Linked DNA regions of Lytechinus pictus. The protein of the gene in region 4 interacts with the protein of the main gene of each other region in a biochemical or structural test. Links are inferred from orthologs where the notes say so. Each region holds a gene or a part of one and is shown on either strand. Other genes may lie near its edges. The genes, in order: ran-specific GTPase-activating protein-like, double-stranded RNA-specific adenosine deaminase-like, ran-binding protein 3-like and exportin-1-like.

What was found.
Region 1: the proteins of exportin-1-like (region 4) and ran-specific GTPase-activating protein-like form a complex in vitro, tested with the Homo sapiens proteins (3 studies listed by BioGRID, with this or other methods). The link is inferred for Lytechinus pictus from reciprocal best matches to the Homo sapiens genes XPO1 and RANBP1.
Region 2: the proteins of exportin-1-like (region 4) and double-stranded RNA-specific adenosine deaminase-like form a complex in vitro, tested with the Homo sapiens proteins (2 studies listed by BioGRID, with this or other methods). The link is inferred for Lytechinus pictus from reciprocal best matches to the Homo sapiens genes XPO1 and ADAR.
Region 3: the proteins of exportin-1-like (region 4) and ran-binding protein 3-like form a complex in vitro, tested with the Homo sapiens proteins (2 studies listed by BioGRID). The link is inferred for Lytechinus pictus from reciprocal best matches to the Homo sapiens genes XPO1 and RANBP3.

The regions. Positions count from the first base shown.
Region 1 is NC_087246.1:7,323,219-7,330,131, forward strand, and holds the start of ran-specific GTPase-activating protein-like, read left to right. Parts: upstream 1-3,902; 5' UTR 3,903-4,117; coding exon 4,118-4,126; intron 4,127-6,913. UniProt on the Homo sapiens protein: Plays a role in RAN-dependent nucleocytoplasmic transport. Alleviates the TNPO1-dependent inhibition of RAN GTPase activity and mediates the dissociation of RAN from proteins involved in transport into the nucleus.
Region 2 is NC_087250.1:3,399,706-3,407,168, reverse strand, and holds the start of double-stranded RNA-specific adenosine deaminase-like, read left to right. Parts: upstream 1-4,437; 5' UTR 4,438-4,453; coding exon 4,454-6,010; intron 6,011-6,409; coding exon 6,410-6,687; intron 6,688-7,463. UniProt on the Homo sapiens protein: Catalyzes the hydrolytic deamination of adenosine to inosine in double-stranded RNA (dsRNA) referred to as A-to-I RNA editing.
Region 3 is NC_087255.1:28,227,750-28,235,111, forward strand, and holds the start of ran-binding protein 3-like, read right to left. Parts: upstream 3,013-7,362; 5' UTR 2,933-3,012; coding exon 2,896-2,932; intron 1-2,895. UniProt on the Homo sapiens protein: Acts as a cofactor for XPO1/CRM1-mediated nuclear export, perhaps as export complex scaffolding protein. Bound to XPO1/CRM1, stabilizes the XPO1/CRM1-cargo interaction. In the absence of Ran-bound GTP prevents binding of XPO1/CRM1 to the nuclear pore complex.
Region 4 is NC_087251.1:44,096,809-44,104,160, reverse strand, and holds the start of exportin-1-like, read right to left. Parts: upstream 3,012-7,352; 5' UTR 2,477-3,011; intron 1-2,476. UniProt on the Homo sapiens protein: Mediates the nuclear export of cellular proteins (cargos) bearing a leucine-rich nuclear export signal (NES) and of RNAs.

The DNA.
Region 1 (6,913 bases), on a different chromosome or scaffold from region 4:
TTACAGTTTGAGACTAGTGGAGTGTTACATGAAAGGACTTGTCAGATGTTTTATCTGACAAAGTGTGTTTCTCAGCCAATCAAAATCAAGGATATTTGTCTGATAAATGTTGATGAAATGCTCTCCTGAATTCTTCATGTTGTTGATGAGGCCTATGTATTTGATTTATTTTTTTATTGAAATATTTCTTAGAAATTTCTGTTGAATACACCTTTTGTAAGTGAAATTGATGAAAAATAATTAAGAGAATCAGGGTCTCAGTTTTATAATTATGAGGGGAGCAATAAAAAGCTCTTCTAAAAGTTTTAAGGGGAGCGGTAGAGGAGCACTGCAAAAAGCTCTTCTTTGACTAACAAGGGGATTTTTTTTGTCTGAAATTAAAAAGTGGATGGAGGAACATACACTTAGTTGCAAACCACAACTTAGGAAACAAACAATCAGATGTATAGGCAACATTGATCTCAATGAACTTTTTGTTGTCATTTTTGCAATGTGTGTTATTGCCTTTTTGTATGTCTTCTAATTTGACTTAGAATGAGGTTTTCAAGCTTGGCTCTTAACAGTTCAATCATTGACTGACACTCTTATTCTATTTTCAGGCTAAGTGATGTCAGAACAGAGTCATATGGAAATAAAATGTAGAAACAATTTTTAATTGTGTATGATGTTGCCTGTTTTCAAATTTTTCTGCATTTATCATTTCATATCACAAAAAAAAAAAAAATTCGCTGAGGTGAGCAATAAATCGCTCTACCTGAAATGGTTTAAGGCAAGCAGTAGCGAGTGATCACTCTCCCCTGTAAACTTAATTTTAGTCCCTGGAGAATCACAGTTGTCAAAATGTGATGAACTTTATAATGTTACTAGAAAATTTATATTTGCTAGAATTGACTTGTAAACTGGTAAACTTAATGAGATGGAAGGGAGCTGTGAAAACTTACAACTATGATGAGTTTATCAAAATGGTGTAAAAAATGTTATGCAACGTTGTTTACTATATGAACCGTAGGCCTACAATAGGTGTTTAACAGTATAAACAACCATGCTTTATTTATTGAGAATTACATATTAAAAATTGAACTTTGTTGTGTAAGATTTTAAACACTTTTAAACAGGGGAGTGATATTCAAAGATGAAGTCGAGGAAGATCATAAGGAAGAGGGTGGCCAGGAAGAGAGACTGAGAGAGAGAGGGGAAAAGGGGGGTGTAAAATAACAAAATAGAAGAAGGAAGAGTGGTGATGGTGAGAGGAGGAAGGAGATTTGAGGCAAGGGGGGGGGGGGTTGTAACACTGAGGAGGAAGGAAAATAGAGGAGAATGACAGGTGAGAGAGATAAGGAGATACTGAGTTAAATGAATAAGAAAATGGGTTGAGATGGTAAAAATAAGAAGTTTTTCTCTCCTCTGATTTAAAAATGAGGTAGAAATTCACTTTGAAGAGTAGAGTCGTCATTGTAAATATTAAGCTAAAATCAAGAACTTCTTTATCATTCTCAACAAAAATAGTATGAAAATTGTAAGCTATAGTTACATCATTGCTCTCGCATTTGCGTAGACCTATAACCCATTTACTTTTCTGAAAGTAAAGTTTTATAATGTCACATCTATCTTATTTTCCATCCGATCTTGATTAAATTTTCAATGTTATGCCACTTTTACTTGTCTTTATTAGGTCCATGATTATAGAGGTGGGTCTGAAAATAAAGTGTGATAAAAATGAAAGGACTGGCGCCCCGCAGTCTGCAAATCAGTCTCTGGAGCCACTGCCCTAGACGCAAGTCCCGATGTCTATTTATATCACCCCCGGCAGCAATTTCTTTTTGTTCATCAGTAGGCCTATTTGTCAGGGTTTTTTTCATAAATATTTGAGGCGACACGAAACAGGATATTTGGTAATTTCAGCTCGATCGGTGTGGCTCTCCGTTTTTTTTCGTGCAGGGGTCGGTGGTCAGGGGGGGCAAGAGCAAAAAATTTCCCGGTCATATGGTATGAACAGGTGTTAATGAGGCGACGATTTTGAGAGGGCCAGATATTGCATATCGGGCAGAATTTATCTTTTAAAAAAAAGTTGCGAGCGAGCAAAATATCTGACATTTTTAATACAAAAATCCAATTTTGTGATAGATTTTGACATGATATCCAGAAAATGATATCACTCTTCTCTCTTTCCATTCCTTTTTTGTGGTCTGTTCGCCACTGTGAGCAGGATTCTTTGCGGCAGTAGCGTGAAGAGTAAAAAAAAAACGAAGGGCGCAGTATGGTGCATGTGCTAAAAAGCTGCTTGATACAAGTCCCGAGCGAGCAAAGCGACCGAGAAAAAAAATCACCTTTTTATTAGAATCTAGTAACTTTGAGATATTTTTGTTGACATTATATTCAGCAAATAAATCATATCCTACACTCTTCCTTTGCTTTTCTTTCCTCTTTTTTTTTGTTCTTAGTTGTAGATTTTTTGGGGCCATATGGCCCAACCCTTCCATACTCATATACAGAAGTCCTATGCGGTTGGGGTCTGGGATGGGGCCCCCGGAACTTTTTGATATCAATGCCATTAAACACTCGCAGATCGCCGCTATTTTTAATCAAATCTCGGATAAATGCAGAATATAGCTTTTACACAACACATTTATTCAACCCAGTTGCGTAATGAACCAAATATTTTGAGGGGGCAAAACAGCTAGCAATGTGGGAAATTTGTTTTTAAAAAATCGCCAGCAAGTAAAGCGAGCTGGAAAAAAAATTGCCTATCAAATTCTAATTATGTGATAGATTTTTCCATTATATTCAGCAAATAACACATTTTATTGTTTCCATTCATTTCATTTTATCTCCTATAATTTCTTTTATTTCCTCTTGGGTGTGGAACCAAGACCCCCCCCCCCCCGCCTGTACGCCAGTGATTGAACGTAAAGCTAAATGTAGGAAGGGTCCCTATTACAGGGGCGCCTAGAGCCATTTAAAGGTTATAGATGAAGAGCCCCTAAAAGCCGGCCCGGTAGCTTATTTGCATAAAATTTATCAAGCTTATAGCACAATGTTGAATGCTCTCCATCTTTCTTCCCGCTCTTTATTTTCTTGTCCCTTTTCTTTGTTTTTCAATTTAGCTTTTGACTAAGATCCATTCAACCTTCATTTCCTGCTATTGTTTGCCATTTTGTCATATTTTAGTTTATTTCCCATCATGCTATTGCATTACATAGGCCTATTTCGGAATGATTTGTTCTTTCTCAAATGCTCTTCTTTCGTTCCTTTTCCCGCTTTCCATCCTTTTCCATTAAAAAATTCTTCGTTTTCTTTTCACTTTTCCCTTTCCTTTTCCTTCTTTCCTTTTTAATTCCCCTTTCCTTCCCCTTTCTCTTTTTTTTTCTCCCTCCCTTTTCTCTTTTTCCCCGTTTTTTATTTTCCCGGTGAAATCCGCCAGGTGGCAGGGCGGGGGGGGGGGGGGGGGGGGCTGTTACGCCACTGTCCACTAGCTTGTTCTTATTTGATTGTATGAAGCAAGGTTTATTCAAAGATTCTACCAAGAACTAAAACAATTGGATCGACAACTGATTAAGTGCATTATTAGTTATTTATTGCCGCAACTTATTTCATCATAATGGAGACGCATCATGTACTCGTATGAAAAAATGAAACATTTATGATTTCATGTAATAACATAATAAAATTAGGGAAAGTGGAAATGTGACATCATCAGCCCACCTAATGAATTTTCATGACGATGTGCATATCCCTGTTTTCACAAAATATTGATAAACTTTAAAATGCAATAACTATGTTATTTGTTATCCGTTTTGACGAAAATTTCAGTATTTTGCTCTGTGAATTTTACTTTATTTATTTTAATATAAATGTCTTCAGCCCGGACCATCCCTTTGACCAGCGCGCGCTTTAGCTGGGGTGGGATGAATGCGCTGTATAATTCATAATAGACAGTAACTCGTGATTCTCATACTGAACTCGTTAGGATATAGGGTATGGTTCCGGAATTACTGTCTATTATTTATTTCTATTGCACAAAATACGTTCATCGTACGTAAATACCTAAATTGCAAAATTTCATTCATTCGTATAACTGTCCGATTCTTTGTGCATCCGCCGACATCCACCTAACGAAATGGCAGATGTGAGTTTTTGATTTGTTAGAATGTGTCTTAATGTGTAAGATGTGATTTTCAAATGAACTTTGTCACGATTCGACATTTCTTATCCGTAAACCGCATAGATTTTCACATGTTGTGTTGCGTGAACTGAATGAGTCCTTCGTGCAGCTGTACTGTCTGTAGCCGTCATAACTGAGTGAGCCTAACATGACTAACGTTAGCTCCTAACATTAGATGAGCATCTAACTAACTTATTATGGAAAAGAGATTTATTATATCGGCTTGTCCACAGACATGAGTGAAGAAATTGAAATAGAATATTTAGGTGATCTGTCATTCCTGTCAATCGACAGGACAGATCAACTACACTATTTCGTACAAATTAGGCCTAGGGCTAGGGCCTAATTATTTAGGCCTAAATCAAAATATTTAATTTATTTATATTTTTCCACCCTTGTCCCACTCACGCGTATTGCAAGGTTAGTAGTATACTAACCTCGCACCATGAACCGCGTTTGGCAGTGGATTTCTAAATTCTAACTAGTGGGTCGCGCGTGCTGGGATCTCACTTCTGCCTGGACCTGGTGTCCACAACACACGACTTCTAGTTCTATGGCTTGATTTTTTTGTGCGCGGCTGCATGTAATGAACCCTTTGGACTTTGGTGCCCTTGTCCCACCAAAATCTGGGCCTAACTTACATCTTCAATTTTTCTCAAAATATCAGTTATGGGGACATGTCAGCCGTCTGTTTCGAGGAGATTTTTTAACATTTTAAATTTTTTAAAATTTCTCCTCGTACACAGACGTAGCCTGGAGGCGTCTTGGGGAGTAAAAGTAATAATACTCTATCACTCATGTATGGTCACTCCCGAGCTCCCCGAACGCCTGGCGTTTGTACATAGGCTCCCATGCACCAAACAGTACTAGTAGAGGCGCACGGCCAATATTGGAGACTGTCTCCAAAATGGGAGATTATCTCCAATATCAGAGACTTTTGTAAAGAATTTGGGTATCCAATTTCAGAGACAGTCTCCAGTTTTGGAGTCCAATTTCCTTTGTTTACATTTGCTGCAAAAGGATTAACTTGGCGGCAAATAAAAATATGATAAGCAGATTCCTCATGAAAAATTACCCCTTTTCACAGTCTACTTTAAAAATTCACCGTCTACTTTTGTTTTGATAAGGATTTTTGTTGTCAATCACACACAAAACAAATGGGCTTCTGACCTCAGTGAGACAAAATTTTGGGTGGAAAAAATCATGCTTTTGTTGGTGTTGTTTCTTTTGTCCTTTTGCAAAGCAAGTCTCCAATGTGGGAGATTGTCTCCCCTATTGGAGAGAGTCTCCCATATTGGCCGTGCGCCTCTACTGCCAAAGAAAAAGGCAACTATAAAAATGCGCCAAACTGCTAGTTATGTTTAGAATCTGAGGTTAACAGTAATGTTGTAAATCGGATCAAAAATCAGATCGAAAATCGGATCGGCAGTTAAGCTTCTAAAATCGAAATCGAATCGAAAATCGAATCGGCGATGTTTAAAAACAAAGGAATACATCAAAATGTTGTTCGCGGTCGCGCGCATCTTCCTGACAAAGTCACAAAGACGAATGCATTGGAATGGAAGTCGCCAACATGCGCGATCGTTTGGAACATGTTTTAAAGCCAGGGGTTTTGAGGTGTTATTGCTTTAAAATAAACCGAGTGATTTTTATTAGAAAGATAAACGAAAGACGCATCTTCCGAGCAAAGGCGCAAAGGAAAATAAAATGAAAATATTCATCATAGATCACAGGTTAATGAACGATCGGCGGGACATCTTTTAGAAGTATTTTTAGGTGCTAGCGATTTAGAATTATTGGAATGATCTCTTACGACGCATCATCTTAAAGTCGCAAGTGCAATTAAAATGAAGTAGAAGACGCAAGCACGCAAGATGATTTGAAATATGTTATTAAAATGTTTTGGGTAGCTAGCGTTTTCAAATCAATTTGAAGTTCACGGCGGGGTCCGCTATCACCACGAGGTTGAAGAGAAGATGTCTATCATCATAAAGGGGGTAAGAGAGTAGCGCAGTGAGCTCCGTCGGTAATACGACCTTTCAAAATTCACGGCGGCATCCGCTATCACCACGAGGTTAAAAATAATGTTGTAAATCGGATCAAAAATCAGATCGAAAATCGGATCGGCAGTTAAGCTTCTAAAATCGAAATCGAATCGAAAATCGAATCGGTATGTTTAAAAACAAAGGAATACATCAAAATGTTGTTCGCGGTCGCGCGCATCTTCCTGACAAAGTCACAAAGACGAATGCATTGGAATGGAAGTCGCCAACATGCGCGATCGTTTGGAACATGTTTTAAAGCCAGGGGTTTTGAGGTGTTATAGCTTTAAAATAAACCGAGTGATTTTTATTAGAAAGATAAACGAAAGACGCATCTTCCGAGCAAAGGCGCAAAGGAAAATAAAATGAAAATATTTCTCATAGATCACAGGTTAATGAACGATCGGCGGGACATCTTTTAGAAGTATTTTTAGGTGCTAGCGATTTAGAATTATTGGAATGATCTCTTACGACGCATCATCTTAAAGTCGCAAGTGCAATTAAAATGAAGTAGAAGACGCAAGCACGCACGATGATTTGAAATATGTTATTAAAATGTTTTGGGTAGCTAGCGTTTTCAAATCAATTTGAAGTTCACGGCGGGGTCCGCTATCACCACGAGGTTGAAGAGAAGATTTATATCATTATAAAGGGGGTAAGAGAGTAGCGCAGTGAGCTCCGTCGGTAATACGACCTTTCAAAGTTCACG
Region 2 (7,463 bases), on a different chromosome or scaffold from region 4:
GAGTGGAGACGCATTCACAATTTATGCTATTCTGATCGTTAGTCATGAAAATGGATAAATAGATGAGACATATCTTGTATGAAGAGTAAAATGCATATTAGCATTGATCAATGATATGTTCATTTTAACATCATTTATTGTTTTTTAAATTAGATTATAACTCTGTATTACTCTGTGGATTGATCTCCTAACTTTTATGAGGTATCAAATATGTGACGGTAAAAAAGCAATATTGACCTAATTGTATGTCTTGCATAGCAAAGCTCCTTGGAGTTGGACGATGAATTTGCATGTTCAAGAAAGGAAGATCACATTTCTAATATCAATATCTGTAGTAGATTTGAAACTACTGTATGTTGAAATGTCGAAAATTTGCAGTATTCTCATGCACTTATGCCACCTTCCCCCCTTTGTCAATTTTTTTTAATGTTTTTTTTTTAAGGGGGGAGGTGGGTTTTTTGTAGAACTCTCCCATGCATGCTATGGGCTATAAACTGTACAGTGCACTAATACTCCTAGTAAATAAGGTAGACAGCCATCATAATCATTATTTAGGAGAGCTTTGCTGGCAACAGGATGCAAGCATATATCCTATATGACCTAGCTTGCACTCTTTTATAAATCGACCTCCATAAAAGAGAGAGATAGATAGATAGATACATGTAGATAGATAGATAGATAGATATTGATAGATAAATGAATAAAACAAATATAATAAAATATGAAATAACTTCATTTATGAATAAATAAAAAATGAAAAACGAAAGCAAATGAACATTAATGTATATATTTCTAATTAGCCTCTTTGAAAATAGAAATAAACTGGCGTTACTTTAAATTAACTGGTTACTTCAGCCCCTGAGAAGTAGGCCATCAAGTCTGCATGTACACATACAGTACATGTATGTATAGGCCTAACCTGAAATTGCTCAGTACATCTATCATTCTTGAACAAGGTTCAATAACTTCGAAGCAAAATAGATCATTTTGTTTTTCTTTACGTTCATTTTAGTACAGGCAAGGGATGTTTCGTTGCTATGCCATCTCCTTGAAATTCAAAGCATTTAAGCAACTTCAATTGTATTATACATCCAAATTTTATGTGCATTTTTATCAAGCCCAGAGGGATGGTTTGCTTTATGGCCTCGCCCTTTCACTATTTTAGTTGGCATTGACCTATTTATTTCCACCTGGTTAGGGGATGAAATATTCATGCCAGTGCAAGCAATGTTTTGTTGGCCAAGCTTTTCGTGCAGATGTCACTGGAATGATTGCCCCCAAAGGACAAGTGTCCCTTCCTCAGTCCCATCCATTTCAATCTATGTGTTTATGACCCCCTAGGAAATAAAACCCAATGCAGTGTCTCAGCGATGAGTGGATGTTGGGGAGATATGCGTCCTTCCCATGGTCCTTTGTGTTGGAGCGGTATGGGGTGTTTTATAATGAAAATGGCACATGAGATTAAGGTCTTGAGTGATCCAATGAGTGTGGGTTGATGTTGATTAGTGCGCATGTACATGATGTACATGCATTCATCATTCTGTTAATTGTGAATATGAGAATACTGAAGCCTCTATGCAGCCTCTCTCTCCCATGCCATCTTCTGTTCACTTCCATCACTCATTCAAAATTTGCATCACTTGTTAATTGTGAATATGAGAATACTGAAGCCTCTATGCAGCCTCTCTCTTTCCCATGCCATCTTCTACTCACTTCAATCACTCATTCAAAATTTTGCATCACTTGGTATATGGCCATGCACTTTGCCTACATAAAACCCACTTTGTCCATTTTCCATTATTTTGGTCTGATCCCACATGTTCTAAATTCCCATTTTATCTACAACCAGTTTGTCTATGAACCATTTACCACTTTAATACATGTAGCCTGTTTCACACTTTGCCTAATTTCCATTTACATGTAGGCCTATTAAACTCACATGGTCTAACGGTTCCATGACATTTGCTCTGGCGAGAACCGCTCCGATGGAAAATCTTCATGTTTAGCCAAACATAAAACCTATTCCTCCAAAATCCAATACACCCAAATTCTTTTCAGGTAAACTATTCTGAACCCAAAACTCTATTACAAGCCAAACCCTAACCTTATGCCATTTGAGATATAATAATTAAGATTGGGGCAATTGTTGCAGGAGCACATGTTGTGTCATCACCCCCACTGGTCTAGCACCACTTTAATAGTCTCTTTGATAATGAGCTACATGTATTACACAGTAAAAACGCTGTTTAAGATTTTATACAACGCTGTTTACTATATGAACCTTACAGTATTTGTTTAACCGTTTAAACATGTTTAATTTATTGAAGATTAGATATTGAAAATTAAACTTTGTTGCTTAAGATTTAAACACTTGTTTATTAAAACTGTTTAAACAATTACTGTAAGGTCCATATAGTAAACAGCGTTGTATGATTTTTTTTTACTGTGTAGTAATGAACTCATTTTTTTATTTGACAAAGTGTGGCAAAGAATGTAGACCAAGTGGAAGTTAGACTAACTGGACATGAGACTCAATGGCCCGTATTCTGATAGCAGGTTTAAATTAAACTCAGGTTTAAAGTTGTGGTTTAAGTATGGATAGCCAATTGTTACATAAATCATAAACAGTAGAGATATCATATTTCAGCTCATTTGGCTCTCAAATCATTCATAATTGTCTAAGAAGTATAAATAGATGATTGTTTTCATCAAAGATGAATCCGGAAAGAGCACAGTAGACAAAAGACACATACATCTTAATAAAAATTTTGATACTTTTGGCTTCCCATACTTAAACCACAACTTTAAACATGAGTATAAATTAAACCGACTTCAGAATACGGGCCATTGACAGTAATCCCAAATAGGCCTACTAGGCCTATTAGACAAAGTGGCAACTAGACCAAAGTGATCATAGACCAAATGAGACAAACTAAGAAGTAGCCTGACTTCTTGTAGACCAAGGCCCCAAAGAGTTGCGAATTTCGATTGATATGATCAACCTGAACTATGGAAAGCCAGCAATGCCCACATCTGAAAATGAAATCCATTTTTGTTCAAAATATTTTCTAGATATGATGTTTGTATATTGCATAAAGTCATTGTTTTCTTGACAATTTTGTGTGTTCACCTTTGTTAACAAAGGTCATTTTGCAAATTTCATGTAGTAAACATTTTGACACTGATGGATTTCCATAGAGTTACGATTGATTGGATCAATCATAATCCTTTGTAAGATGGGGACCTGGTTTCACTTGAACTTGTTTGCTGAAGGAAGTGTCCATTTACTTCATATCGTCATTAACAATATCTCAAAAAATGTTTTTTGATTTGTTTTCACTAAACCACCACCATCACATCACTAACTTATTTTGAAATATTTGTTGAAATGTTTGTTCCTAATCTGAGTTCTGTGTGTTGTTTTCTTTTTTCTAACTGAGCTTGTAGTAGCATGTATTTATATATTTTGGGGACTTTATTCTCAAAAAATATTTTATAGACATTTAAAAAATGTTGTTGAAATTTTGATATCATGTCAGAGAGACTCTTGATATATTTCTGATTTATAATAATGATTTAAGATTATTCTTAAAATGACAAGAGTTCCTGTAATTTTAACTATAATTAAATGATTTTTTTTAAACATAAATCTGGTCATTTTAAATTGAAATCTATTAATGGCCCCTCTGACAAACATTAGAAATCACAAGCATGTCTATGCGATCATTCACTGGATGTTTCCATATCTCCTCAAAATTGGCAAAATTGAATTAACAATTTTAGGGATTTTCATTGACATCTAATTTCTAAACAATGAAAGCTTAATCCATGTCAGAAATTGGAAGTAGGGATGATGCTATCGCACTATGTTTCAGGCACTGTGTTTTCTAGGCAAGCTACTCTTGTGTGTATTCATTATGGTTTCATACATACGCTCTTCAGTAGCCCAGTAGACACTCCTACTTACATCTGAATTCATTTCTGAGTGCATGCTTTCCATTTCATGTATTATTCATGTGATTCATCTTGACAGTCATGTACCAAATCTATATGATGTATCAGTTGGTTTTGACTCCTAGTATTATTTAGATATATACGTTGCTGAGAAATGGCTCAGCAACATTATTTTATTCACAGTTCATGTATGATGAAATAGATTGGCCAATTCGATATGATACTCATGCATTTATATCAACAAGCTTAATGTTAAAATATTTTATTCGTTAAACATGTATCAACTTTTGGGAACAATAAAAAAAGAACCAATTAGATTAAAAAATCCTGTTGTAGGAAAAATAGTTGCATATTAATTTTTGTTTGAATGTATGTTAAATGATAACTATATGATTCATATATTCTTTAGCATTAATCACTGTTTGGGAGAATAAGGGTTTTGTTTATTTATTCATACATTTTTTTTGTGTGTGTCTTACAGGGTTCTTCTAAGCGAAAAATGGGCTCAAATACAGAACTGGCCAACAGCATCCTCAATAAATTAAAAGAAAGCAATGGTTCCATGGAAACTCTTGAATTGGCTCGATCGCTGGGAAGGCGTTCTCGCAAGGACGTTAACCCGACGCTGTACCGGATGCAAAAGAACGGCCTTATCTTGAAGGTGTCCGCGTCACCTCCAAAATGGGGCTTAAAACACGAGGTGACTGTTGGCCCTCTGCATGGTGCGACCGCAGAGGATGGGGACAATCGGCAGGAGGCGGAAGAAACGGGGGAGGAAGCCCTTTCTGGTGGCAGCGGTGGGATCGACAGAGAGGATGTCGGGGAAACGGAAGTCATGGAGGAAGGGAGCGGAGGTGACGTTCCTGCCGCAGAGCCTTTGGGTCGTCCTGTTAATCATTCCACACCCATAGACGCAGGTCGGCTTTTCCCTCCGAATCACTCCGGGTACAACGGGACACATCCTCTGCCCGGCGTTGACCCCATGGCTTCGCCAACCAACAATTCCAGCTCGAGCGATGATTCAGAAACAGCCGAGCAACCTGTCATGTTTGCAAAACCACCACCTCCACCACACGAACTGCAACAAAGCTTCTCAAAGCCATACACGCCAAATGGCATGGACCACAGGTTACTGGTGGCATTGAACGAAAAAGTAGAATCTATCCATTCCAATGATCTTGCCAAACAGCTTGGTTACCGCACCAAGAAGGAGATCAACCCAACTTTGTTTAGTATGCAAAAGAAAGGACTTGTAAGAAAAGTGTGTGAGTCTCCCCCTATGTGGGTCATCACCCAGTACGGGAGACAGATTCTCGAGACTGATCAGCAGCAGCAGCAAAGTGCAGAACAGGCACAACCAAAACCGAGTCAGTTTCCAGGGATGGTGAGTCCTCCCGTGCCAGGCATTGCTCCTCAGATGGTAAACATGGGACCACAGATGGAGCAGTTCCAGGGAACTCCTGGACATCCATTCCCGCACATCCCTCAGAGTCCTCAACCACTCCTTAATACCAACGACGACAGACAGTCCATCCATAATGAAAGAGTCAATCTCCAAGCAGCAATCAATGCCGGGATACCGCCAGAATTTGCCACGTTAATGTTTGCCTCTCCGGACATGGAGATGAAGGTTTTGTGTGCATTGAGCAATCAACAGACTCAAGGAACTCTTGAGATAGTCCATAATGTAGGTCTCAACAGAGGCAAGGCCAAAGATGTGAATCCTTCGCTCTATGGGCTTGCCAAACGGGGATACATCACTAAAGTCACGGACAGTCCTCCAACCTGGCACATCAACGAGAAAGGCGTCGACCTCATCACCAAGGAGAAAAAGCCATTAGAAATGAACGGCGCCACCAAACCGATGGAGATTCCAAACCATGTCAACCTGGTGACAGGGGCACCCGGAGTTCTCATGTCACAGCCAATGGGGGCGCCGAACCATCAGAGTGGCATGCTTCCTCCTGATCCTCGGTCTCTTCTGCAGAGTTGGGATCAAGGAAGACAAGGTCCTGGCTTTATCCCAGTATCTTTTACACCAACCATTCCTACTCAGGTATGTACCATTCCTATCCTTGGCAAGTTGCAGAAAGAGTTGCATCTAAATGCAACTGTAAAAATATCAAGGGCAACTTTGTCTGCAATGGGCCCATTCCTACAGTACTTCCTCTTAAAGATTGGGTGTTTTATCTATTAAAGTATGAGGTATGGTGCATTGCAAGAGACTTGCGATCAAATTAGGGCATGATTTCCAGCCTTTCCATCTTTTGTTTTCACAAATGTATATTCAATGGGATGAGCGATTAACTATTGAATCATGGTCAGTTATTCTTTAGGAGAACATACATGTAATATTTCAGATCCAACATGTAAATATCTTATGCTCACAAGGTATACTGTATAATTCAGGAAAAGTAAATTCATTTGAATAAAAAAAACCTTTCATTTTACACAGGTTGCCCCCATCCGAGCTACCACCATGCCTTACATGCCCCCGAATTCCTTTGCAAACCAAGTCAACAGCACCCCTATCCCAGCATCGCCAGCTCCCCAGCCACAGTCTTCCCACAATGCACCAGCCATCGGGTCGTCGACAGGTCAGGCAATCAACAACGAGATGTTTGCTGCTATCAATAAGAACCCTGTGAGTGCGTTGACGGAGTATGCCCAGGCCAGGCATCTACCGGTTTCAATAGATCTTCTTCAGCAGTCTGGACCACCGCATAATCCAAGGTGAGTACTGGAAGGGGTAACAGCATAAATCGGTAGGGGTGCATGGGGATAAAGATGGGCGTAGGATTTGCAAGTTACATACTGGAGAGGGATTGTGGAGCAGTGTGGATATCAGACCCACTTACTGTCTGGGAACACTAAAAATGGCCCAGCCCCGTAGCTAGAGTTTTCAGTGAGGGGCATGATCGATTTCTGAAAAATTTGACAAGCAAAAAAAAGGGTTAACGGTCCAATCTCTTGGCTTGATCCCCAAAAAACTGTTTTCCTCCCTGGATTTTCTTGCTTTGGAAATTTTAACAGATTCGAATGAACCCTCCGACACCCCTTTGCTATGGGATTGTGGCCCCAGACGAATATATTTGATTTAATGAACTATTTCAGAAATTATTCCCATTCAGTTATGAATGATTTCTTAAATTTCCTATGAGCGGATATTTTGAACTTTTACTGTCAGAGATAATGAGATGGGTCACATAATAGGGTAATATAGGAGCGCCTTGAGCACCTAGCAAGGTGGATATGTGCGCTATACAAATCCTATATTATTATTTTGTTATAAAGGGTTACAACTCTTTGCCATAATGGCAACTTGTCTGGTAACAGGGTTCAGCAGCTAATCATAATGTGTTTGAATCCCACCATGGCCTACATGTAGCGTCCTTTGGCAAGGCGTCAATCCACAATTTGCCACTCTCCACCCAGGAGTTAAATGGGTACCCGATAGGATTCGAAAGCCTATGTATATGTAGTATGCCTAGCAATTGAGTCTTGGAACT
Region 3 (7,362 bases), on a different chromosome or scaffold from region 4:
CAGGAAATGACATGCACTGCCCCTTTGGCTTTGCCTTGAAGCCTTGGCTAGCTTGTTTGGCATGTAAATACAACTCCCAGATGCAAAGCCCCATGAACCAACTTGATGGCTATTTTTGCTCACCCATTTCTAATAATCAATTTCTATTCTAATTCTTTTTTTTTTACAATCTAGCAGTTAACACCCACTCACACGTACTGCGAGGTTAGTATGAGTATACTAACCTCGCACCATGAACTGCGTTTGGCAGTGGATTTCTAACTAGTGGGTCGAGCGTGCTGGGATCTCACTTCTGGTGTCCACAACACACGACTTCTATGGCTTGATTTTTCTATGCGCGGCGGCGGCATGTAATGAACCCTTGGGTGGTTAACACCTACCTCAGGCGATGTTCGTGTAGGCTCCACTCCACTTCTCTACCGCTACACTGCGCTCCACCTACCCGAACATCGGGACAGTAAACTCGATCGGATATTCCGAGTCACAAAGGTGGGATGGCAATCATGGTTATCGTAAAAATTAAAGAAAAATAATATAACGAGGGATAAGAATGACTTAATATCTTACTCTACACCCGTATTTCACTCCGTGTCCATCCTCCGGTCACTCACACTAATACGAGGTTACTAACCTCGTACAAGGGACCGTGTTTGACCCTGGATTTCGAAGTAGTCGGCAAACATCGCTTCATTGCTGAAGTAATATTTGCGGAAACTCCTTCTCGCTACGCATCGGGGCTCTTTCCGGTAAGTAGCAATACATGAAAAAATTATACATATGATTTGGAAATAATTTCATTACAAAAAGAGCAAATTTCGCTTACCTCGGCCTAGCAAGTGACTTCGCCCGTTGGTGGCGCTAATAAATTTCACAACCTTGATTCAGCACCTCGGTAATTTTATAACTGTGTCTAAATTCTTTGAATGCGCAATTCTTATGATTAATTTACTAATTATGGGCAACAATAAATGAAATACCTTCAAAAAAATAATTCAAGATTACTATTGGCGATGATAACACTTTTTTGCAATTAATTTAAAACGATGACTAATAAAAAAAATTGAAAAAATACACATGCCTGGAACGAAACCAGCAGTACAAGCTTTAACGAACGTCAATAATACAGTATACCAAAGTCTATACAATGAAAAGATTGGACACTTCACGGACTTCGCGTAATGCCTTGCGTCGATTTGCGTGTAAAATAGTGTAGGTGCCTAGTCTTTCCCTTGTCGTGTCTTTGATATGAATATAAATCGCACGCCCTCTTTAGGCGAAAATTGATATCCACGCTGACCAATTTTTATCTCCGTGAAATCTTCACTAAAGATCAAGAAAATATACATATTTTTTAAAAGAAACTTAAAGGAGAAGTCACAGAAAATTCTAAATGATTCGGTAAGTGTCATAGCAGAATGTGAAATACCAGATTATGCGTGATATTTTATGTGGGCAAAAGCCCAGTATATTTTGGATGTGTCGTGTGTGTCACGTGCATATGACTAATATTCCTTCGCACGCGAGATGATATGAACCCATGGTTGTCCTCCGGTTATCCTCAAAATTTGTGATTTTGGGCTAGTATCTTTTTCCTCACACGTATTATTCACGGCCGATTTCAAAACATCGCATGCGATCGGTCGCTGATCGATCGCGATCGCATGCGATGTTTTGAAATCGGCCGTGAATAATACGTGTGAGGAAAAAAGATACTGGCCCAAAATCACCAATTTTGAGGATAACCGGAGGATGGACACGGAGTGAAATACGGGTGTAGAGTAAGATATTATAAGTCATTCTTATCCCTCGTTATATTTTTTTTCTTTAATTTTTACGATAACCATGATTGCCATCCCACCTTTGTGACTCGGAATATCCGATCGAGTTTACTGTCCCGATGTTCGGGTAGGTGGAGCGTAGTGTAGCAGTAGTGAAGTGGAGTGGAGCCTGCACGAACATCGCCTGAGGTAGTTAACAAATAACACCCTGCTGACAGTGCTGTACAGTAGAGGCGCACGGCCAATATTGGAGACTGTCTCCAATGTGGGAGATTATCTCCAATATCAGAGACTTTTGTAAAGAATTTGGGTATCCAATTTCAGAGACAGTCTCCAGTTTTGGAGTCCAATTTCCTTTGTTTACATTTGCTGCAAAAGGATTAACTTGGCGGCAAATAAAAATGTGATAAGCAGATTCCTCATGAAAAATTACCCCTTTTCACCGTCTACTTTAAAAATTCACCGTCTACTTTTGTTTTGATAAGGATTTTTGTTGTCAATCACACACAAAACAAATGGGCTTCTGACCTCAGTGAGACAAAATTTAGGTGGAAAAAATCATGCTTTTGTTGGTGTTGTTTCTTTTGTCCTTTTGCAAAGCAAGTCTCCAATGTGGGAGATTGTCTCCCCTATTGGAGAGAGTCTCCAATAAGGCCATATTGGCCGTGCGCCTCTACTGCTGTAACGTAAGTTTGACGTTAGTCGTTGCATTAGAAAGTTTAATAAAAAATGTGGACACCCAATTCTAAAAAAATAAAGCCAACCACTCACACTTTATGAGGGAAGCACAACTGATGAACTGCAGCCAGTGATTTTGCATGCTAAGTATTTTATTGAATGCACATCAAGGACAACAAGGAATCGTGAAATCACCAATTCACAGGCACGAGCAAGAAACTACACATGCCAAAATCGGGATGGCCTCATCCAGAATGAATTTTCGGGCCCAAGTCAAGACTCAACAAAACACTCTCTTGCACTCAAAATGACCATTCAAATCATTGATATTAGGCAGAAACATAACTCACCAATCAGAACAGATATATTTAATCATGATTCAGACCAGACAACACACAAACACAATGACAGAGATATCAATTTGATTGTTTACACGAACCTGCTGGAGCAGTTGCAGCCGGTTGCGATTCCGCCATATTGGACTACTAGTGGTAAACGATTTGCTCTTGAAGACAAACTGCATGGAATGTGGTAAACGTTGCGTTCAATGCGCTCGATACTACCGATGTAGAGGCATGGTATATATCTTTGCAGATCTCGTCTTTGGGTTGTCTGTTCAGTTTTTAAAAAAGGAGGGAAATTCAATCAGAGGGACGGGGGTAATATTATCCGGGTTTATGAATGAATGAATGAATGAATGAATGAATGAATGATGAATGAATTATGAATACCAGAGAAAGAAAGAAAGAATTATAAAGAAAGAAAGAAAGAAAGAAAGAAAGAAAGAAAGAAAGAAAGAAAGAAAGAAAGAAAGAAAGAAAGAAAGAAAGAAAGAAAGAAAGAAAGAAAGAAAGAAAGAAAGAAAGAAAGAAAGAAAGAAAGAAAGAAAGAAAGAAAGAAAGAAAGAAAGAAAGAAAGAAAGAAAGAAAGAAAGAAAGAAAGAAAGAAAGAAAGAAAGAAAGAAAGAAAGAAAGAAAGAAAAAGGAAGGAAGGAAGGAAGAAGGGAGGAAAGAAAAGGAGGAAAGTGTATAGAAAAGGTAACATGGTAAAGAATAAAGAGAAGGGGGAAAAGGTTTTAAAAAGGGGGTAAATGTATTGTCTACAGTGTGTCTCTAAAAAAAGTAAACCCAACTTCAACGGCAAATTTTCAGAAAACTAAAAAATATTTAGACATTATTTTTTCATGGTTAGATAGTCCAATAAGTCTTCTGTCCAATTACATCACTTAGGTTATCTAACTCTCATGCATGACTGAGCATGATTCAACTTAGTGAACTGGTGTCAAATCATCACTGTGGCAAGTTATTTCTTGTTATTTTCATGCATTCAAGGCCTATTTGAAGTTAAACTCAGTGGTTCCGTGATCAGCATACTTTCTCACATTGTACCAGATGGCCCTTTTGTTGGAGGCTGCCTCTCGGGGAACTGCACCCGAAAAGCCTCTTGAACTTCCACGAAACTTCTTGTTTCCTGGTATTGAGTTACCAGGAATACTCTCTGCTCAATTGTCAACTGTACCATGTTTGGAAAGCATGTGAAGTGTGCCTGTGTGAGGAACAACCTTTGCTGCTGAAGTTGTTATGAAATTATAGGCCTAACATGTGACCAAAATTTAACTTCAAATAGGCCTTGAATGCATGACAATAGCAAGAAATAACTTGCCACAGTGATGATTTGACACCAGTTCACTAAGTTGAATCATGCTCAGTCATGCATAAGAGTTAGATAACCTAAGTGATATAATTGGACAGAGGACTTATTGGACTATCTAACCATGAAAAAATAATGTGTAAATATTTTTTAGTTTTCTGAAAATTTGCCATTGAAGTTGGGTTTACTTTTTTTAGAGACACGCTGTATAGGAGCCAGGAGGTGATCGAGGGATGCATCACTCGATTACAAACTAACAGAGCCCTCGGTGGCCTTAGGAACGGTTTAAAAATAGGGGGTACTATGGCGGGTTTCGTTTAAAAAATGACAACCCACCCCCCCCCCCCCCCCCAAAAAAAAAAATAATAATAATAATAATGATAAATAAATAAATAAATAAACAAATTATTTTCATGCCATATGTTTATTTCTGCCTTCATCGGTCCTCCGGCGAGCTCCAGTTGAGTGATGTGGGGAAGGGTGGATATTTTTAGGACGGGTTGTTTTGTCCTTTATCTAACTGTATATTTTTGATAACTTTGTATTTATTTTGTGAGTATTTCCCTCTCAGTTATTGATTTTTTTCTCATTTGATTATCTGTATTTATACTTTGCTATTTTGTTATTTTGTTATTTGTTGTGTTATCTATTTTTTTGAGGGGCCCACATTGTACAAGCATTGCTTTTTAGTGGGTCCCTCCATTTCCATCTTAATTTAATTTCTATTGAAAAATAGTATACTTATTTAAAACCTACAATGTGTTGCCAAAATTGTCTAAGTGTTTTTTTTTTTTTCACAACATATGTATCATTATTTTCTTTTTTTGCAACGTATACAAATATTTATGTTTATATATGGTATACAATTCATGTATGTACAATTGATGGAAGTGAAATAAATAAATTTGAATTTGAATTTGAATGTCACACAAAGAGCAGTGAGCAGCTGAGCTGACAGCAGCCCATTGAGTACGATATTTCCAATCATCGTTTTTTGCTCTTAGAATTGGTTATTCATCACAAGATTGGTCTTATTGTAGATAAAAGTTTGAAATTTCTGAACAGTAAAATAAAATGCACATTTTAACGTATTTTGGTAACCGATATGTATCTTAGAAAAAATCTTTTTTTTTTCAAGAAATATATGTGAATAAACAAAGCATATTTTCACTTAGAAATCACACTTGCGTCACATTGATATTATAATCAGTATAAAGCATAGACATTTAAACATACAATTCTAATTTCCAGGGTGCTGCCTATAGTAAATAACAACGTCCCTCCCCCCCCCCCCCCCCCCACCCCAGCAAAATCTTGGGGTTGCTGCAGCAACCCCAGCACCCCCGTTTCCCAGGGCTATGACATCCATCGGCTAAAATTAGGGATTTTTTTTTCTTGCTTGTCATAGTGGGCATGGGCGGAAACCCCAGGGGGGACAGGGGGGACGTGTCCCCCCTACTCAAAATAGTAGGGGGAACACAATATCAAATGTCCCCCCTACTATTTTTGGTCTTTTATGATGGTAAGAAATACATCATTCTAAATACATCATTCTAAATCGAAATAAAACATGTATTTTGGGACGAGATATGACCTTACTTTGGCGATGATAACTTTTTTTTGCTTGTCAAATTTTCCCGCCCCTTGTCCCCATAGGCGGATCCAGGGGCCGAGGGGCCCGCCCCCCCCCCCCCCCCGCTCTTGTCGGAGCAAAAAAAGAAAAAAAAGGAAAGAAAGAAGGATAAAAGGAGGGAAAAAGAGAGGAGAAAAAGAAAAGAAGGACGACGAGTGCATAAAATAAGATGAGGGGAAGACTTGGAAAATAAAAATAATCTTTCGTGCCACTATCTAAAATTTTCGCTCGCGCTTCGCGCTCGCATTGCCTGTTAGGTGATTTACATATCTTGTCAATATGGAGTTCGAATATCAAGTTTGGAAGTCAATATACAAAACATATTTCACCTCGGAAATCGAACTTTCATTATTTTGTGTAATTTACAAATTGGTTTTTAAAAAGTGCTCTGTAAAAATGTCAGTTTTATGGTCTGAATGTTAACATTTGCTGCTTGCGCTGCGCGCTCGCAAATTTTGATTTATCAGGTACCTATTGTTTTCGTGTATTCCATAAAGTTTTCAAAATATCCCTTTTCAGGTCTGATTTTCAAGACGTATCAGCTAGCGCGCTGCACGCTCGCATTCTGATTGGCGAGTTATATAAATGTTTCAATATTGATTATACAACAAACTACTTAAAATCCCCTTTTCATGACAGTTTATCAAAAAATTTAGCTCGCGATTTGCGCTCGCATTAATGGTTAAAAACATATTAACTGATGCATCCTATTCATAATCACAAAAGTGAAATGTCCAATTTTTATGCCATGATATCATCAGATTTCGCGCCCTCATAAGGCATTAATAAATATATATTATTTTAATAATTAAATTGTCCCTTTTGTTTCATCTCGCTCTTAGCAAGAGAAATAGGAAGATAGTCATCATTTTCATATGATGACATGTCGTAAGAATGTCCCGGTCCTATGTCAAAACTCAAAGTAATAATAATATCAACTCTTTTCTATAAAGTGCGATCCATATCCACCTTGCAATTTTTATACAAGGACTTGAAATATAAAGCTGAAATTGACTCTTTTTTCAGATCGGAATATCAAAGTTTCATGATTTTCATGATTAAAGTTGTATTTAGAATGCCTAGATTCTTGGTCTAAATATGAAACACGCTCGCGCATGTTTATTCAGATACTCAACTTGTTCTCTAGTTTAAATCATTATCCAATTTCAGATCACAATATCAAAAATTTTCTGCTCGCGCTTTATGCTCGCATTATTATTGTAGGAAGACCCCATATTACTCATCCTTTTGATGATTTACAATACATGAACAGATTGGCACATTTTTAGGTCTAAATCTCGAAAAAAAATTCTGCTCGCGCTTGGCGCACGCATCAATCGTTAATTTATATAGCTATCCTGTTCACGATTACAAAAACTGATTAAAATTTTCCATTCTTTCTTTAGAAAGTTCAAAATGTTTCAGCTCGAGCTTCGCGCTCGCATTTTTTTATTGTTGAAATATGTAACGCCTTCATGGCTAAATGCGAGCAGTCCTTAACAGGTACCTTTTCAACAGGTACCAGTTCAAAACGCATTATTAATACTCATCCTTAACAGGATTTACAAAACATATATAGAGTGTCTCGTTCAGTAAAAATTATATAGGACTAAATCTCGAAAT
Region 4 (7,352 bases):
AACATGAAGTTCTTTAAAATTCCATCATAATTTCCAGTTGATATATAATATATTCTTGAGTAGTGTGCCCCAAATGTCAGAAAAATTTCAAATATGATTTTCTTGAAAAACCTCAGCCAATCATTTTCAGATTAAAGAATCCTCAGCCAAACATTTTCAAACTGAACAAAAAAATAGAGCCAAAATTTTATAAGCACACATTCACTTTTCACATGATTCAAGGATTTTGTTGAGAATGGCTGCTTTCGACTGAAATGCCTGAAATACAATATTTTCCCATTTCTTTAGTCAGATTTTTTTTAATGAATAGGTCTAACATTAGAGTATCAGTCTACATATTCAGGGGTGTGAGTAGTCACAAATAAAAAGATCTGAAAAAAGCTGAAGAGTGATGAAAAAGTCTGAAATAGGAAGAGCTCTCATATTTTTGAACAGAAGAAAGCCAAAAATAAGCTGAAAAAAAAAAATCTGATATCAGCTAAAAAACTTTTGGTTGTCTATTTCAATCCTTATCAAAATAACAGCAAATCCAACTCCAAGCGAAGCAATGTCTGACTGGGAACTTGAATGATGTCGAGATCGAAGCCGAAATACAGCCGTTCCTGATTGCGATGTTCGGAAAAGTGGTGGGTAGTCTATCTTGGCCTTGAAATATGATTGAGACTTGCTATTAACTTTTGCAAACAACCATTGGTGGGGAAATTCTCTCGAAATCGGCTGGTGCGAAACTGCAAATTAGTACCTTGGCTTTAATTTTAATTAAGCTCAAATGCAGACATGCCTTCCCCTTCCCCCCAAAAAAACAACATAACCCCTGACCTTGAAGGCCTAGCCTAAAAACTCAGAAAACATCCCCCCCTTTTTAGTTTTATGATGGGGGGACCTAAAGCTAAGCACTTTGTTTTCAAACGATAAAAACAGGGGCCGCGGAAGCGGGGGGCTTCAGCCCCCCCCCCCCCACTTTTTTCCAAAACCGTGTACAAAAACGTAAAAATTACCATATGATTGTGATTTTTTTGCATGGTCAGCCCCCCCACTTCGAAAACCGTTCCGTGGCCCCTGAAAAACTATGCCAATTTTAATTATTGAACAAATTATCTTTCACTAATTTGTGGCAAATATAAATCATTAGCCAAAAAGAAAATATTGCAAAACTCACGTAATACGTAAATTCCAGTGTTTTTTTAACACCTCTTGATTCCGATGTCGAAGGGGTCCTAAAGCTACGCACTCGATTTATCATGCAAAAAATAGCATTTTTCCTGTGCCTCAATTTCTAAAATATGTTCACATTATTATAGGATAAAATGAAATTAAAGCGAATATAACTCCAAAATTCCAAACAGTTGTGACTTGTGGGTTTTCGCTGCATTTTAATTAGAGATTTACTGCAGCTTCTGTAGTAACAATTGAATAGGAATCGAATCGTTCGTCACTGGCCACACACAGAGTGCACATTTGCCATTAAAAACTGCATGCGCGATGAGTGGTGCGTAGCTTTAGGACCCGCGTAGCATCAATTAAGTTAGGTCCCCTTACCATACATTTAAAAAACTCAGATTTCAAAATCAAAATGAATCATATTTTTCTGATTAACAAAATTATGTTAAAATGGTAAACTGTGCAAATTCAGAATTTCAGGTCTTGATCTGGACCTAGAATAGATCTACATCTACTGATCTAGACCAAAAGCTTCGGTCTCTGTTATTGTTCCGCTGAACTCCGTTGGCTCCACTCACCAAAATACAGAGACCGAAGTTCTAGCTCGATCTGTACAGGGGACTCAATGGCCGTATCAAGTTCGGATAAAACAGGGAAGTGAAGTTGCGCGACAGCCGAAGTAAGTCACTGTTTTTTCCCCTTTTAAGTTTATTTTTCCCCGTTTTGGTGCATTTCACTTTTCAGGCCAAAACGGAATAGGAATCATGATAATAATCTTTCTTTTTTTTGGTACAGTTCTCTTTAAATATTTTTATGAAATAAAGACAAAAATCGAAGAGCCCCGACGGGGGAATTTGCATTTTAAGTCCCCTACCCTAATGAGTAATGGTGGCTGCACGATAGCGAGCCGTCTGTGTACGAGGAGAAATTTAAAAAATTTGAAATTTAAAAATCAATAAAGAACTCCTCGAAACAGACGGCTGCCAGCTGTCTCTACAATTTTTACAATTTTTTTACAATCATAACCACCCGGCACCCCGGCCTTTACTAGTTTTCATCGGGTCCAGGCCCTAGGCCTAGCATAGTACTTCATCAGCTAGCAACAAGCAGCATGGCCCCAGGCTTAATTAAAATGAGCACCACCGTCGAAGGGGCGGCGCCGAAGCTCCTTGGGCTTGGGTTAGCTGAGTGAGAGCTCAGCTGATCGCTGATTCGAACGATGCCAGCTGGAGCTGGCTCGCTGGGCTGTACACTCACTCGGCAAGACCCTAGCATGCATGGACCAATGAGAATGCGGCCTCTCTGCTTTACTTACTTGCTATGATAGCTCTCCGCTGCTGGCCGTCGTCCGCCGAGACGAGTACAGAACCCACGTGAACTATCTGCTCTGTAAATTGCTAACCTGGATACCACACGACGCTTACATTAAAGCATTCGTGAATCAAGCTTTCATTTCATTAATTGTCTATATTATCTGGCAATTCGAGGATGTTTCAGCCATTTAAAATTAAGATATTTCAGAGTAAATCCAGCTTCGATCTCCATCCGACGAATTCGGCGTCTCGAGTGATGGAAATTTTTGGCGAATAAAAACCGGTCAAAACCAGTTCGGCGCAGCAGCAGCTAGCTGTCGTATACGCGAGTAGTATCTCTGCACACTGCGAAAATCATATCCATCAAAATATTCAGTGATACATTATCACACTTATAATTCACAATCATATAATGAACTGAAGATACAAATTGTTTAATGTTTATGTGCAGTAATGAGCTTCTTAATCAACACGATGTAATGTGGAGCGAAGGGTCAAGTTTGTTATTTCGCATTACATATTTGGAAGAGCAGAGAGGAATATATATATTCGCGGGCGCTTTTCGAGTTGCGATATATACAGATAGAGCGAGGTAGAGGGCGCAGCTTCAGAATTCACATGCAAAACAGTATACAGTTCTAAAATATGATTGGTTGACAGCTGGGTACCATGCCCGTTACCTGTTTATTGTTATCATTATGTTAAATTTGTATATGGTTGTATTATATTGGTCGCTCAATGATGGAGTATTTCGGGCTGAAATAATGATACCCAAACAAGCAGAGTAAAAATTCACTAACCACAACGCTTCTCTATTACAAAACAACAAAGTTGAATTTCAAAGTTTAGCAATACTGTATATTAGGCCTATTGTGAAATAAGACCATGCCCCATGGGGCCCCCATATGCAAATAATCGAACATGCAAGATAGTGCCAATGCTTTCCTTTTTCGTATAATGCTATTCACATTTTCATATAGTGTACTCGAATTGTCTCCCTTGTATCATGATCAGTTGCAGCAATAATTTTCTTTAATATTAATTCAGTTTAGTCAATCTTACCGTACCCTGCGGAGGAGAAATTATTTAATCAAATACTAAAGATTAAGTGGGGATATGACACCGATCAGCTTGCTCATTGCACTAGCCTAGTCGATCTGCCGAGACGCCAAAGTCTTAGCTCTATCATGTCCAAACACAGGGGCGGAAATCTCTCCCAAAAGGTAGGGGGGACACAGGGGCGGATCCAACCTTCGCCAATAGGGGGGGGGGGCGGCGGAAATTTGTTTCAGCCATAATTTCCCCGATTTTTTTTTTTTGAAGGGGTAGTCCTCATTAGTCACTTCTTAGCTTTATTCTTATAAATTTATATGTAATATCATAATCCTTATTTATATTATGCGAGCGCGAAGCGCAAGCAATTTTTTGATTTTTTTTTTTGTATTTTTTCCTAAAATTTGAACATTCTGGGCAATGTTTGTTATCCTGAAAAATGATGTGTACGCAACTTAATAATTACTACGAACGCAAAGCGCGAGTACATGCAAATGAACTGATGGAAAAAATACCTGTTAAAGTAGCATTTAACTATCAAATAATGCGAGCGCGAAGCGTGAGCAATTTTTTGTTGACTTTTTCACCTAAAGAATGGAAATTCTAAGCACTTTTTGTAACTCAAGCAGAATAGGTAATTAAGTAAACAATTGATGAAAGAAAATTTTTATATACGTTTTGAACTGGTACCTGTTGAAAAGGTAACTGTTAAGGACTGCTTGCACTTAGCCATGAAGGCGTTACATATTTCAACAATAGAAAACTGCGAATGCGAAGCGCGAGCTGAAAATTTTTGAACTTTCTAGAGAAAGAATGGAAAATTTTAATCATTTTTGTAATCGTGAACAGGATAGCTATATAATTTAATAATTGATGAGAGCGGGAAGTGCGAGCAGAAAAAAAATCGAGATTTAGACCTAAAAATGGGCCACTCTGTTCATGTTTTGTAAATCATGAAAAGGATGAGTAATATGGGGTCTTCCTATACAATAATGCGAGCACGGCGAGCAGAACAATTTTGATATTGCGATCTGAAACTGGATAATGATTTAAATAGAGAACAAGTTGAGTATCTGAATTAACATGTGCGCGCGTGTTTCATATTTAGACCTAGAATCTATAGGCATTCTATATACATCTTTAATCATGAAAATCATGAAACTTTGATATTCCGATCTGAAAAAAGAGTCAATTTCAGCTTTATATTTCAAGCACTTTGTAGAAGCACTTTGTGGATATGGATCGCACTTAAAAAAGAGCTGATATTTTCATTATTATTACTCTGAGCTTTGACATAGGACCGGGACATCCTTACGACATGTCATCATATGAAAATGATGACTATCTTCCTATTCCTCTTGCTAAGCGAGATGAAACAAAAGGGACAATTTGATTATTCAATTAATATCATATTTATTAATGCCTAATAAGCACTGACGTAAATCCGTGTTGATGGGTGGGGGGGATGACTGAAATATTTTGGCTTTTTTTTTTTTGCAATCATGTTTTTAGATATGCAAGGAATTGTCATTGATATGTCCACACTGACAGTGGAGTACCGTGGGTCACGGTATTGGGGGGGGGGGGGGGGGCACCAGCAAAATTTTTGAATGACTGAGTGAGTGACCTAATAGAGACATTTTAAGGACAATGTCATTAAACGGATATGTATCTCACTGATCAAATGATGAGAGCGCGAAGCGCGAGCTGAAATTTTTTTATATTCAGATCAGAAGAAGTTACATTTTAAGGACCGATTTTAGGAATTCATGAAGAGCAGACATATCTCACCAATCCACTAATGCGAACGTAATCACGGACAGGAAATGTTTCATATATACGAAGACCTTAACATGGGGCAATCACTTTTGAGTCATGAAAATGAAGCATATGTCACTACATAAAACAATGATAACTCAAGTGCTAGGAAATATATTTGGTTTATATTGACTTGAAAACGGGATGTTTTAGTACAACAGGATTATATATCTCGTTAAACAGACAATGCGAGCACCAGGAACAATGAAGACGTAGGCCCTGGGCAAATTATGTTTCATAAAGTTATGATAAAAATGTTTCTTATGTAATGTAACTTAACATAATTATAATATAACATTATAATGAATAATATTTTCTTCTTTCCCACTACTTTTCTCTTCCTTTCTCCCTCTTTTCTCCTTTCCCCCCTTTCCCCGTTTTTTTTTGGTCAGCCGATGTGGGGGGGGGGGGGTGTGCCCCCCATGTCCCCCGTAGTTACGCCACTGTATGTCCATATGGCAAATACCCCTCCGATATTATTATCTTTTTTACCCCATGATGGTTTAATGGTTTTATTAGAGATTACATTTTAAAAAATTTTGACATTCTATCTTAATCCCTTCCCAAAGACCCCAACATTGATGAATTGGAAGAAACGGGGGTTTCTCTTCAATGTTATAATAAGGACATAAGTATTTTGTTTGGAAATGGTGAACTGGCTCTTTATTTGCATTTTATGATTCAATAATATTATTTTATTTGATAAGCGGTATTTTTGGAAGAATTTTCACCAATAAAACAATTATCTCTTGTGATTTTTTTTTTCATTTCTTTCGTAAAAAGTGGGGGGATGTTTGTACAGGCCACCCCCCCCCCTCCTGCTAATAAGGGCGCGAAATCTGATATTATGGCATAAAAACTGGACATTTTACTTTTGTAATTATGAATAGGATGCATCAGTTTATATATTTTTAACCATTAATGCGAGCGCAAATCGCGAGCTAAAATTTTTGATAAACTGTCATGAAAAGGGGATTTTATGTAGTTTGTTGTACAATCAATATTGAAACATATATAACTCGCCAATCAAAATGCGAGCGTGCAGCGCGCTAGCTGATATTTTTACGTCTCAACAATCAGACCTGAAAAGGGATATTTTGAAAACTTCATGAAAAATAATAGGTACCTGAAAAATCATAATTTGCGAGCACGCAGCGCAAGCAGCAAATGTTCATATTCAGACCATAAAACTGACATTTTTACAGAGCACTTTTTAAAAATCAATTTGTAAATCACACAAAATAATGAAGTTCGATTTCCGAGGTGAAATATGTTTTGTATATTGACTTCTAAACTTGACATTCGAGCTCCATATTGAACAAGATATGTAAGTCATCTAACAGGCAATGCGAGCGCGAAGCGCGAGCGAAAATTTTATATAGTGGCACGAAAGATTATTTTTATTTTCCAAGTCTTCCTCTCATTTTATTTTATGCACTCGTCGTCCTTCTTTTCTTTTTCTCCTCTCTTTTCCCTCTATTCCTTCTTTCTTTCCCTTTTTTTCTTTTTTTTGCTCCGCCAAGAGGGGGGGGGGGGGGGGTGGACCCCTCGGCCCCCTGGTCCGCCTACGGGGACAAGGGGCGGGAAAATTTGACAAGCAAAAAAAGGTTATCATCCCAAAAGTAAGGTCATCTCGTCCCAAAATACATGTTTTATTTCGCTTTAGAATGATGTATTTCTTACCATCATAAAAAACCAAAAATAGTAGGGGGACATTTGATATTGTGTCCCCCCTACTATTTTGAGTAGGGGGGACACGTCTCCCCTGTCCCCCTGGGATTTCCGCCCATGTCCAAACATGATATGAAGGCCTGGATTGAAGGTTTTAAGGCACTTCTATAGCAACAAGATTTTAAAGACCGAGTTACTAATTTTAGTGGTCTTGAAATATTTGAAATTAGCATCAGTACGTCAAGTCGTCAACCGATATGACACTGAGAATAATGCCCGGGGAATAATGCTTAAAGGACTAGTCCACCCCAACAAAAAGTGGATTTGAATATAAAG